Linked DNA regions of Nothobranchius furzeri. The protein of the gene in region 1 binds, or shares a complex with, the protein of each later gene. Links are inferred from orthologs where the notes say so. Each region holds a gene or a part of one and is shown on either strand. Other genes may lie near its edges.

What was found. Proteins that work in one complex are often made in the same cells at the same time.
Region 2: the proteins of myo3b (region 1) and espn are in contact, whole or in part, in a crystal structure (PDB 5ET1), measured with the Mus musculus proteins. The link is inferred for Nothobranchius furzeri from reciprocal best matches to the Homo sapiens genes MYO3B and ESPN. Residues at the interface, in XP_017174528.1 of Mus musculus: Arg1223, Arg1224, Gln1226, Gln1227, Pro1228, Lys1229, Met1230, Leu1231, Ser1232, Ser1233, Asp1236, Thr1237, Met1238, Tyr1239, Tyr1240, Asn1241, Gln1242, Leu1243; in NP_997570.1 of Mus musculus: Leu35, Ala37, His41, Arg45, Ala67, Asn69, Ala71, His75, Asp76, Ala79, Thr80, Asp101, Ser103, Leu110, Arg113, Phe114, Thr135, Thr137, Ala139, His143, Tyr144, Ala147, Thr169, Asn171, Tyr177, Leu178, Gln181, Ala203, Asp205, Met207.

The regions. Positions count from the first base shown.
Region 1 is NC_091754.1:20,402,126-20,407,670, forward strand, and holds part of myo3b (myosin-IIIb), read left to right. Parts: coding exon 1-43; intron 44-1,591; coding exon 1,592-1,802; intron 1,803-2,461; coding exon 2,462-2,609; intron 2,610-3,571; coding exon 3,572-3,725; intron 3,726-3,796; coding exon 3,797-3,885; intron 3,886-4,032; coding exon 4,033-4,162; intron 4,163-5,545.
Region 2 is NC_091755.1:32,449,765-32,453,749, reverse strand, and holds the start of espn (espin), read right to left. Parts: upstream 2,801-3,985; 5' UTR 2,149-2,800; coding exon 1,846-2,148; intron 643-1,845; coding exon 449-642; intron 1-448. UniProt on the Homo sapiens protein: Multifunctional actin-bundling protein. Plays a major role in regulating the organization, dimension, dynamics and signaling capacities of the actin filament-rich microvilli in the mechanosensory and chemosensory cells.

The sequences.
Region 1 (5,545 bases):
ACCGATAAGAGTGAAGTGCCCAACTCAGAGTCCTTGGAGAATGGTGAGATACAATAAAGTAGAACATTAAATTCAGTGATGGTCTATCTAGTACAAGCAAAAAAGCAAAACCATAGAATAGTCTAAGGAAATAGGCTCTAAACGTTTGACTTCGAACTTGTTTGGACTCCAGAAGTATGCAAGTATTGTCAAAATGAAAATTAGACAAAGAAAATACAATCAATCTTACAAACTTTTATAATATTGTTGTCTTTAAGGTGAAATAGGAGATGTTTTTCTTGCCTTTCAAGCAAGCTGCCATGTGAAAATGCACAATACCAATGTCCAACCTCCATACCTCCCTAAAATGTGCCTCTAGAATACGGGAATGCACAATGCTTGTTCCAGAGGGTTCAGTTTTACATTTTTGGCCATTATCGACAGTTTATGCGATAACACCTAACGTAATGCACCAACGTAACCATATGACAAGTCAGTATGCTAGCTAATATTAGGTGTGTGTATTGGCAAGGGCAACTATATACATGAAATTTAGCAATACTAAAAGAACTCAGGCCAGACACATCCAGAGTTATCGCCAGATCTCATTGTTCTATCAGATTGAAGGTGGTGAAAACTGAAGTTGCCAAGCAACAAAAGAAATACAGTTAATGCTTGCATGCAACTTTTCAGTAAAAATGTCTGTTGGAAAAAGAAGATAATTTTTAGCTTTCTTGGCTTATTAATAACTTTAAAATCCCAGCAGCTCAGTACCACCACCAATCTGGGAAAATCCCCATGAAAAAAGGTCAATAAGAACTTCCTAAGACCAGGGGCGGTTCTAGACCAAATTTTCCAGGGGTGGCCACAGTGGGGCCAGTATTTTTTCATGGGGGCACAAGAAAAAAAAAAGGGAATAATTAGGGCAATATCAAAATAGTTTTTTGTCTCCGCCATATGACTAGTTTTGTGCTTGTGCACAATTTTGCCAAAGGAAATTCCTAGTACTGTGAAACTACTCACTTTTTTGTTCTCTTCTTTTTCATGTCTATCTTTACTATATTTTGGGGATCAAATTTATCAAAAATTTTCCTTTACTTTTTTCATCTATGATCTTTTACAGCTGTATTTTATTAAAATAAGATTCAAATTAATTCATAAGTAAAGACAATGAACAAGTAATCTATTGCAGCAAATGCAGTAATGATTTACTTGTGAAAGTAAAACTGGCATGTCTTTATGGCTCAGACTCACGCTCCTCTCTAGGCGACTATGCACAAACGCATAAACGGCCCAAACAGAACATTCAGTCCGTTACACTAGGCAGCCTGGCTCAGGCTTCACTTCCTGTTTAGCTACTCTGAAAACCCTCGATTCTTGCATAGATGATCATGGCACGATCGGGGACAGTCATGCTCCAGTCATTATCAATTAGATGTTCGCAGTGAGGTGGCTTTTCCAGTATTGTACAGTTCAGAAATAATTCGTTTTCAGACAACACTGGTTGCTGTGAGGAGCATTTCAAATAATTTGGCAAAACAAATTTTGAGAAAAACATCTACATCATCTACAAGTTTTACGTTTTATTTTGATCAGTCACCTTTCTTTTCAGCTGCATCTCTCCTCAGCATCGGCTTCGAGGAGCTCCAGGAGGCGCTGACTTCTCAGTGTGTGGTCACGAGGGGCGAGACCATCATCCGTACCAACACCGTGGACAAAGCTGCTGACGTCCGAGACGCCATGTCCAAGGCCTTGTACGGACGCCTCTTCAGCTGGATCGTGAACCGCATCAACTCACTGCTGCAGCCTGACACGAACACCAGGTGAGTGTCTGTCGTCATCTGTGGGGACGTCCCCTCATGCAGGCTCTCTGCAAGTCCCCGATGACCTCTGTGGAAGTCCGCAGAGGTAAATGCAAAGAAGATGATATTAATAAGCACATACAAGAAAAGTAAAAAGAGCAAAAAAATCAAAAAAAGATAAGTTTTTATAAATTTTTGATAGTTGCGTGCAGAGAAAATAATGTTCAGATGATTAAAAAGACTTCAGAGAGACTGCAAAAAGACTTTTCATTGATCCAAAAGAATTTCTTCATAAATGTGAGCGTCGACTGTCAGGGAGTCATCTCACACAAATGAATTCAAGTCATCTGGGCTGATTCTTTATTGCTGTTAATAACCGGGCAGGCTTAAGGTGACCTCTATGTCCAGCCATGAAGCATCGAGTGCTGAATATAAATAGCATCTTCAGCTGAAGAAAGGTGAATTATTTGTGCTGAAAATGTTTGAGGTTAAATCAGCCGAGGCAATCTGAAGCGGCTGTCCGTAACTTCTCATCAGACTAAGCCATCCAGATCCGATTCTGAATTTGGGTTGAACTTGAATTATCATTAAAGTTTAATCAATTAATACGGCTGCTGGGGATTTACCCGCTCCGCCACATGGAAGAATGCATTTGTTTGTCCCCCTTTTCTCCTTTGAAGTGCCTCCGAGAGTTGCATGAATGTGGGAATCCTGGACATCTTTGGTTTTGAAAACTTCAAGAAGAACTCGTTTGAACAACTGTGCATCAACATCGCAAACGAGCAGATCCAGTTTTACTTCAATCAGCACATATTTGCCCTGGAACAGGTGAGGGTATTAATAATCCACACTGATGCATCAGAGATTACTCTAATGTGTTTTGGATTAAGCAAAACAGGGAATCGGTGATCTAGTGCTGTGATTACTTGTTTCTGCATGTTTTCATTTAAACTGTGAACCTCTGGCTTGTCTGATGAATAAAGAAAAAAAAAAGATTATTTTTACCTTCGTACACCTCAAAAAAACCCTTTCAATTAAATAAAGTATGTATTTTTTAAATGAATAAACATTATTTATAAGCTGTTGACCCAATCGCTTTGCAATTTTCATCACTAGTTCTAGTGAAGTTACTTTTCAAAAGCACAAGTAATCTACGTTTTTCGATATATCTTGTGCCATTTCCATTCAAAACTATGGCTCCTTTAATGAGAACAGTCATCTAAATTCACATTTAGAAACGCTCTGCAGGACCAGAACTCATCAGAAGCTGCATGTTCTTTTTTTACAGCAGTGATGAATGAGAATTAGGACCGAGCTCATGGAAAGTTGTTGCCCCGTTAAAGGGAATCTTTATTTCACACTCTGATTATTCCAGCATGATGACTTAAACATGAGTCAAACAGTTTAGATCCATTGGTTCTTCTTTATTAGTAAAATACATATTTAAAACAACTTTTTGATCTGAAGTTAAACAGATGCAATAATAAGAATATCGCAGTGTGTTATTTGCACATTGAAATACATTATAAATAAGTGAGTGACTATTTGTTAGATTGGAGCTGTTGGGGTTCATGCATCCATTTCATTATGCTAAAAAGTTCAGCCAGCTGCAGCTGGTTCCATGTGCGCGTACACACACACACACACACACACACACACACACACACACACACACACACACACACACACACACACACTCACACACGAGTCATTTTTACCCCAGATTGTTTAACTGGGTCATTTAGTGAAACCAATAACTGGTTCTTTTTGCGTTTTGTGGTTCTAATTAGATGGAATACCAGAGCGAGGGAGTAGATGCCAGCCTGGTGGAGTACGAGGACAACAGGCCCATCCTGGACATGTTTCTGCAGAAACCCATGGGTCTGCTGTCCCTGATGGACGAGGAGAGCCGCTTCCCTCAGGCCACGGACCAAACCCTCGTGGGTGAGTCTACAAAATACATCTGAGGTGATTTTTTATAACATGTAAAACTGACATTTCTTGTTTGCTTTCAGATAAATTTGAAGACAATCTGCGCTGCAAGTATTTTTGGATACCTAAACGCATGGAGCTTTGCTTTGGAATTCAGCATTATGCTGGGAAGGTATCAGAACATCTGAATCTATCTAATTTTAACTTAGAATATGTCCGTAAATGTTAACCTGGCGAAAACTTGCAGTATTAGGTTTGAAGTTGTTTTTTCTTAACAAAACTTCGGATTTCTGAGCATTTCCTGTGTTTTACTCTACAGGTTATGTACGATGTGAACGGTTTCCTGGAGAAGAACCGGGACACTCTTCCTGCAGACATCGTTCTGGTGCTGAGAACATCAGAGAACAAACTCCTGCAGCAGCTCTTCTCCAGCCCTCTGACTAAAACAGGTGTGTCGCCATGCAGTGGTGGAAAAAGTACTGTTTTTTTTACTTAAGTACAGAAAGTACAGGTAAAGGGATAAATAATTATTTAAAAGGGGACAAATTATAACTTTTTTCTTAGTTTATAATATTTTTATGGTTGATATCAAACATGTTCATGAAGTTCTTTGCACTCAATCTCTCTCACATTAAGATATTTCAGAATTTTTATTCTTGACATTTTCAGTATCTTCCACAATGAGCCTTTTTAGGGCTTTGTCACTTTAAGAAAAAAAGCTGTAGCTTGCCACACCTACCCATCCCCCACTCAGGCTACTATAAGCTGAGAAACTCGGATGTGCTGGCGGGGTTTGGAGTAGAGCTGCTGTTCCTCCAGCACCAGCTCTTTCTTGCACGTGATTGGTGGTTCCACTGTAATTTGTGATAATCACAAACAGGGACTTTTTGAATTGGCTTGTTTTCGTTCCTAAAACCAAACACTGACAAAAAAAATGGTTGGATGGATATTTTCACATTTGGACTGTTAAGAGAATATTTAACATAAGTAAAAGTATTAAAGTATGCATTTTAATATGTACTTCAAAGAAAAAAAGTGAAAGTAATACTTTTACCTTTGGAACTGCAGTCCGGCGGCAGCTCGAACAAGGGAATGCACACCCTGTCTCCATCAAACCCGGGGTTTGGGTGGGAGTTGGACAAAATGCAAATGAAAGTTCTTTCACTTTTGAAATTTTTATTTGTAGTGACGTAAAAGTAAAAAGTAGGCCTGAAAAAAAAGACTTAAGTAAAGTACAGATACAGAAAAATGATACAGTAATGAAATACTTGTACATCATTACATTCCATCACTGCCACAAGGATACCTATTTCATTAAAAAAATATTTGCAACAATTTAGAGAAGCAGTTTCTTGCCACTCACCATAACAGGGACCAAAACTTTCCTCGGAGACAGACCGTATTAGTGAGAGCATTGTCCTTCTGTGTGCTCCCTCCATACATGTTCAGGTAAGTGGGTTTCTTTAAAAGACGCAGCTCGCAGACATCTACCAGTCCTTCGTTTCAAGCCTCTGTGTGCCGTCCTCGGTTAAATCTGCAGTCCCCATTATCTCTTGAGAGGCTCAGCTCTCTGCACGGCACTCTGTTTTTATTTTCACTAAGCTTTCCCTCTTGGTTTCCCCACCGCTGAATGCTATCTCCAGATTGTGGGTGCTGTGGGATATTTTACGATAAGGTTTCTAAATACCCAGGGGATGAAGAAACAGTATTTAGAGAACACAAAAGCAACTCGTCCCACATCTTTTTCGTTGGTTAAATTAATGTGCTCGTCATTAGCCAATGCCGAGGCCTCCTGGTCACTTGACTTAGCTGAAATGCTAATGGATGTCTTA
Region 2 (3,985 bases), on another chromosome or scaffold:
AAACTGTTTTGATTGAAGTTTTAGTTGTGTTTGGAGAACGTAAACAATTATTGATATTTGGGACATGAATTTTGCTGCTAAATTTCAAAGCCCCACAATTGACGGGGGCGCTAGGGCCCAAAGGTTTGAAGGTCTGGCGGTCCGAATGTGGCTCCTGTGTGGATGTGGCATCTCGGTACGCGTGCTACACACTCGAACCCTTACTGTGCCCTTCCTCCAAGTGCACTTCATAGAGGACCGTAGGACGCAGTGCGAGAATTGGGAACGGGCCTTAGACCTGCTCATGTATTTTAGGCCTGCCTTTTATATTTATATGATATCAAGCTGCCAACAGTTTCAGTTTCAACAGCAATTTGGTGGATGTCTCCAGAGATTATTTCATAAAAACTACACTTTGTAACTTTAAATAACAGATCAGTTAATAAGGAGCCCGCGTATCAAGGCTTACTTTGGGCTGTGCCCCAGTAACAGGCGGAGGGAAGCCTGGTCTCCCTTGGCAGCAGCATAATGAACAGGTAGGGCACCTGTATCTGTAGGGGCCCCGGGGTCCCCCTCACCGCTCTTCAGCAGCCAGTCGGTGATCTCATGGTGGCTGAAGCGAGTTGCCAGGTGGAGTACAGTGGCGCCAGAACTGTCTCTGTCCTGCAAAACAGACAAGAACTAAAAAAGTAATGATTCATTTTTTATGCTCTTGCATTAGTGGTCTAAATTCATGTGGTATTTATTTGTTCACCATCATGTGTTCTATAGTTTCAACCCATCTTGATTTGACTTCTGGATTCCTGCACACTGCTGGATTTGTCTTTTAAGTTTCCTTACTTCCTTCATTTCTATTAAAAAGCGGCTTAACTAAAATACTTCCCAATCCAACTCCTTAAAAGGCAGCTGCATTTCTTTATTGGCCGACTGTAATTTGCATGTACCAGGGACACGAGGTCATGGAGTCATCAGATCTATTTCATTATGTGAGCATTACTGATTACAGCACCCAAAAGCCTTCCAACTATCCCAACATACCACATGGAGCCATCGTGCGTTTTTAAGCCTCCTGAGCCTCTAGAGGCAGACTTATCTTTGGGCAAAGGGAGGTGATGGCCTTGGGCCCTAAACCTATTATAAGGCCCCAATTACACTTAAAAGATGTTTAGAATATTTTTTCCAACAGCTGCAGAGGGCTCCATGTTTTTGTTTGCCTTGGGCCCACAAATTTCTGAGTCCGCCACTGCCTGTTGATGTACTGTACAAATAGAATTAGGTTTGCAAATCCTGTTTTGCCTATACTTCATCACCACGGCAACACAATGCAATTCTGCAAAGTTGGTTTTAATCAGAAAATTAAAGTTTAAATTTCATTTGTACTGATTTTGACAACTATCATTTCATTGCCTTTCATTTTCCTTCAAAGTTTGTAATTGAATCATAATATTTTATTTTGAAAGGGGACATCCTGGTTGAGTTGTAATTGCTTCCTGGATGAAGTTATCACCAACCTCCTGACTGGTCATGCTGTCATGTATGATCATGTACGAGGATGTTGGTTAGGGGTGAGCAAGCTTGGTCCTTCTGGGCTACCGTACTGATTGTTAACATGCCTCTCTGCACCAACACACCTGGTTTGATCCGATGACTAATTACCAGGCTTCTGCAGACCTTTGCATTAAGGGCGTGTTGAATCAGAGAGACAACAACAGAGGATTTTACAGAGAACCAAAAGGACGGGGCAGAAATATTGAAATCGTATTTATTAAATTGCCATAATAAATAATTCAAATGAATCTAAAGCAGCATGGTGTTCTTCTACATGTTGTCTGCTCCACTTGTTAGTCCTTGGCTTAGCTCACTTACCTCTGGCCGACATCCACCCTGGGTCAGCAGCCACTGTAAGCAGGCCAGGTTGCCCGTAGCCGCCGCGTCGTGCGCCGGAGTGGCCCCGTTGTTGGCCACGCAGTTTCCCGGCAGTCCAGCCTCATCCACCAGGAAACGCAAACAGCTCAGTTTCCCGGCCCTGGCGGCGTGGTGGACAGGTGAAGCTCCGAGCGCATCCTTGATGTCGCTGTTGAGCACCTTTGCCGCTAATTGCGCTTTCAGACTCTGCACGTCCCCTTTCCTCGCTGCGAGCAGCGCCCTGTCGCCCTCCATCACCACCATGGCCTCGGACAGGACGACTCCCTCTCGTCTGTTGACCCCCGACTTACTCACCGGGTGGATGGGGTCAGCATCAGCAGCATTTTATCAGCAAAGCTTCAGATCCTGGTCACCAGGTCACCTGTGGGAGAGTTTGGTTCCATGGATCTCAGCAAGGCGGTGATGAAGCGTAAAATCCACGTTTGAATTGTTTAAACATCCTTTTACATGTTTGATCAAATCTCACAACATCACAGGGATACGACATCCGCAGTCGTATCCTCCTCTATAATCTCGATCATCCACACACCTGTAAAACAGCCTCAAGGTGTCCAATAAAATACTTCCTGTATTAATTCTTCCTTCGTTATTCCTAATTAATTTCTCGTCTATAATGTAGCTCTTGTCTTTCTTGGTGTTTTTCTCCCTTTAGCAGATGGCGACATGGGGCTGAGCGCCTGTTAAATAATCCAGCAGGGGGAGGATCACCGAGCCTGTTACAAGTTGCTGTGAAAATCCGCTCAGAAATTAAAGGAGCAGTGCAAACAAACGGTAACAAACTAACGTAAATAGTTCTATAAAGGTAAGTGTTTCAGTCAGGTGTAAACACCAGTGATCAGACTTTGAGGACTCCTCCTGTCTGTTTGCGCAGCTTTTTCCTGTTAAATCAGCAACACCGGACACCTGTTTCTTGTGAAAGGAAGAGGTCCATCTTGTGGTCTTTGGTGAAACTGATTCTGACTTATTTCATGAGTAAACCACCATCTGTAAATTTACATTTATGGGGTTTAGGAAGTGCAAAACGAGTTATTTCTCATGAAAAACATATCTGATCTGCTAGAGTTAGCCAGTTTTCCAAACAAAAAATGTGCAAAAAAAGCTGTTTTTGACCGACATCTTGATTATCATGAATGTCTCTAACCCTAACCCAGGGCTATTCAATTCCAGGACTCAAGGGCCAGCCAGTGCAGCAGGTCTGGGTTTAACCCTGCTTCAACACACCTGGTTTCAATTAGGTGATTAAATGGCTTCTGCAGAGGAGCTGCAGGTGATTCAACCACTGACTGTGTTGGACCAGGGATCTACTTAAACGTGCTGGATACCGACCAAGAAACCCAGAATTTAATAGCCCTGCCCTAACCCAAGTGGCTGATTGGATCATAAATCTCTCTCTCTCTCTCAGATTTTTTTTTTTTTTTTGCTTTTCTTTATATTTAAAATGTACTTCTGGAACCGAAACCAATGCAGTTGCCTGAAAGTGACTTCACTGTGTCATTTCTGTTCACATACTGTTTTAGTTTTGTGATTATTTCTGTTAATATATTTTGTTCTTTATCTACCTCGCAGTCTTTTCATGTTGAAAGCAGAGAAGAAAATAAAACCTGCAACTTATTGCATTTTTTGTGTGGTAGAAATATTGGTAATCTGTATCGATGAGTACTCAGATCCAAGTATCAGTATAGTATTTTTTTTATCACTAAATGAGATCAGGAAAGACTCAGATTTCAAAAAGCACCTGCATTCACCTGTAAATATGTTTTCAGCACACTTTGTTAGTGTGCCTTACATATTCCAGATTCCAGCATGTTTTACTTGTTCTCCAGCCCACCTGATCTGATTTAATGCTTGATTCGCCTGCAGGACGCCCCTCGAGTTCTGTAGAAGCCACAGCTGATTCAAACCAGGTGTACAGGAGTAAAAAAAATGTGCAGTTCAGTGGCAATGGAGGACAGAAGTTTTAGACATGCGCTGTTGGAGACCAATTAGAGCACACATGATTATACAAGTTTTGAACTGGCTTTTTGTTCAAAACAATCACAGTAAGTTGTTTTATTTACTTTATATATTGAGTTTTCTTTAG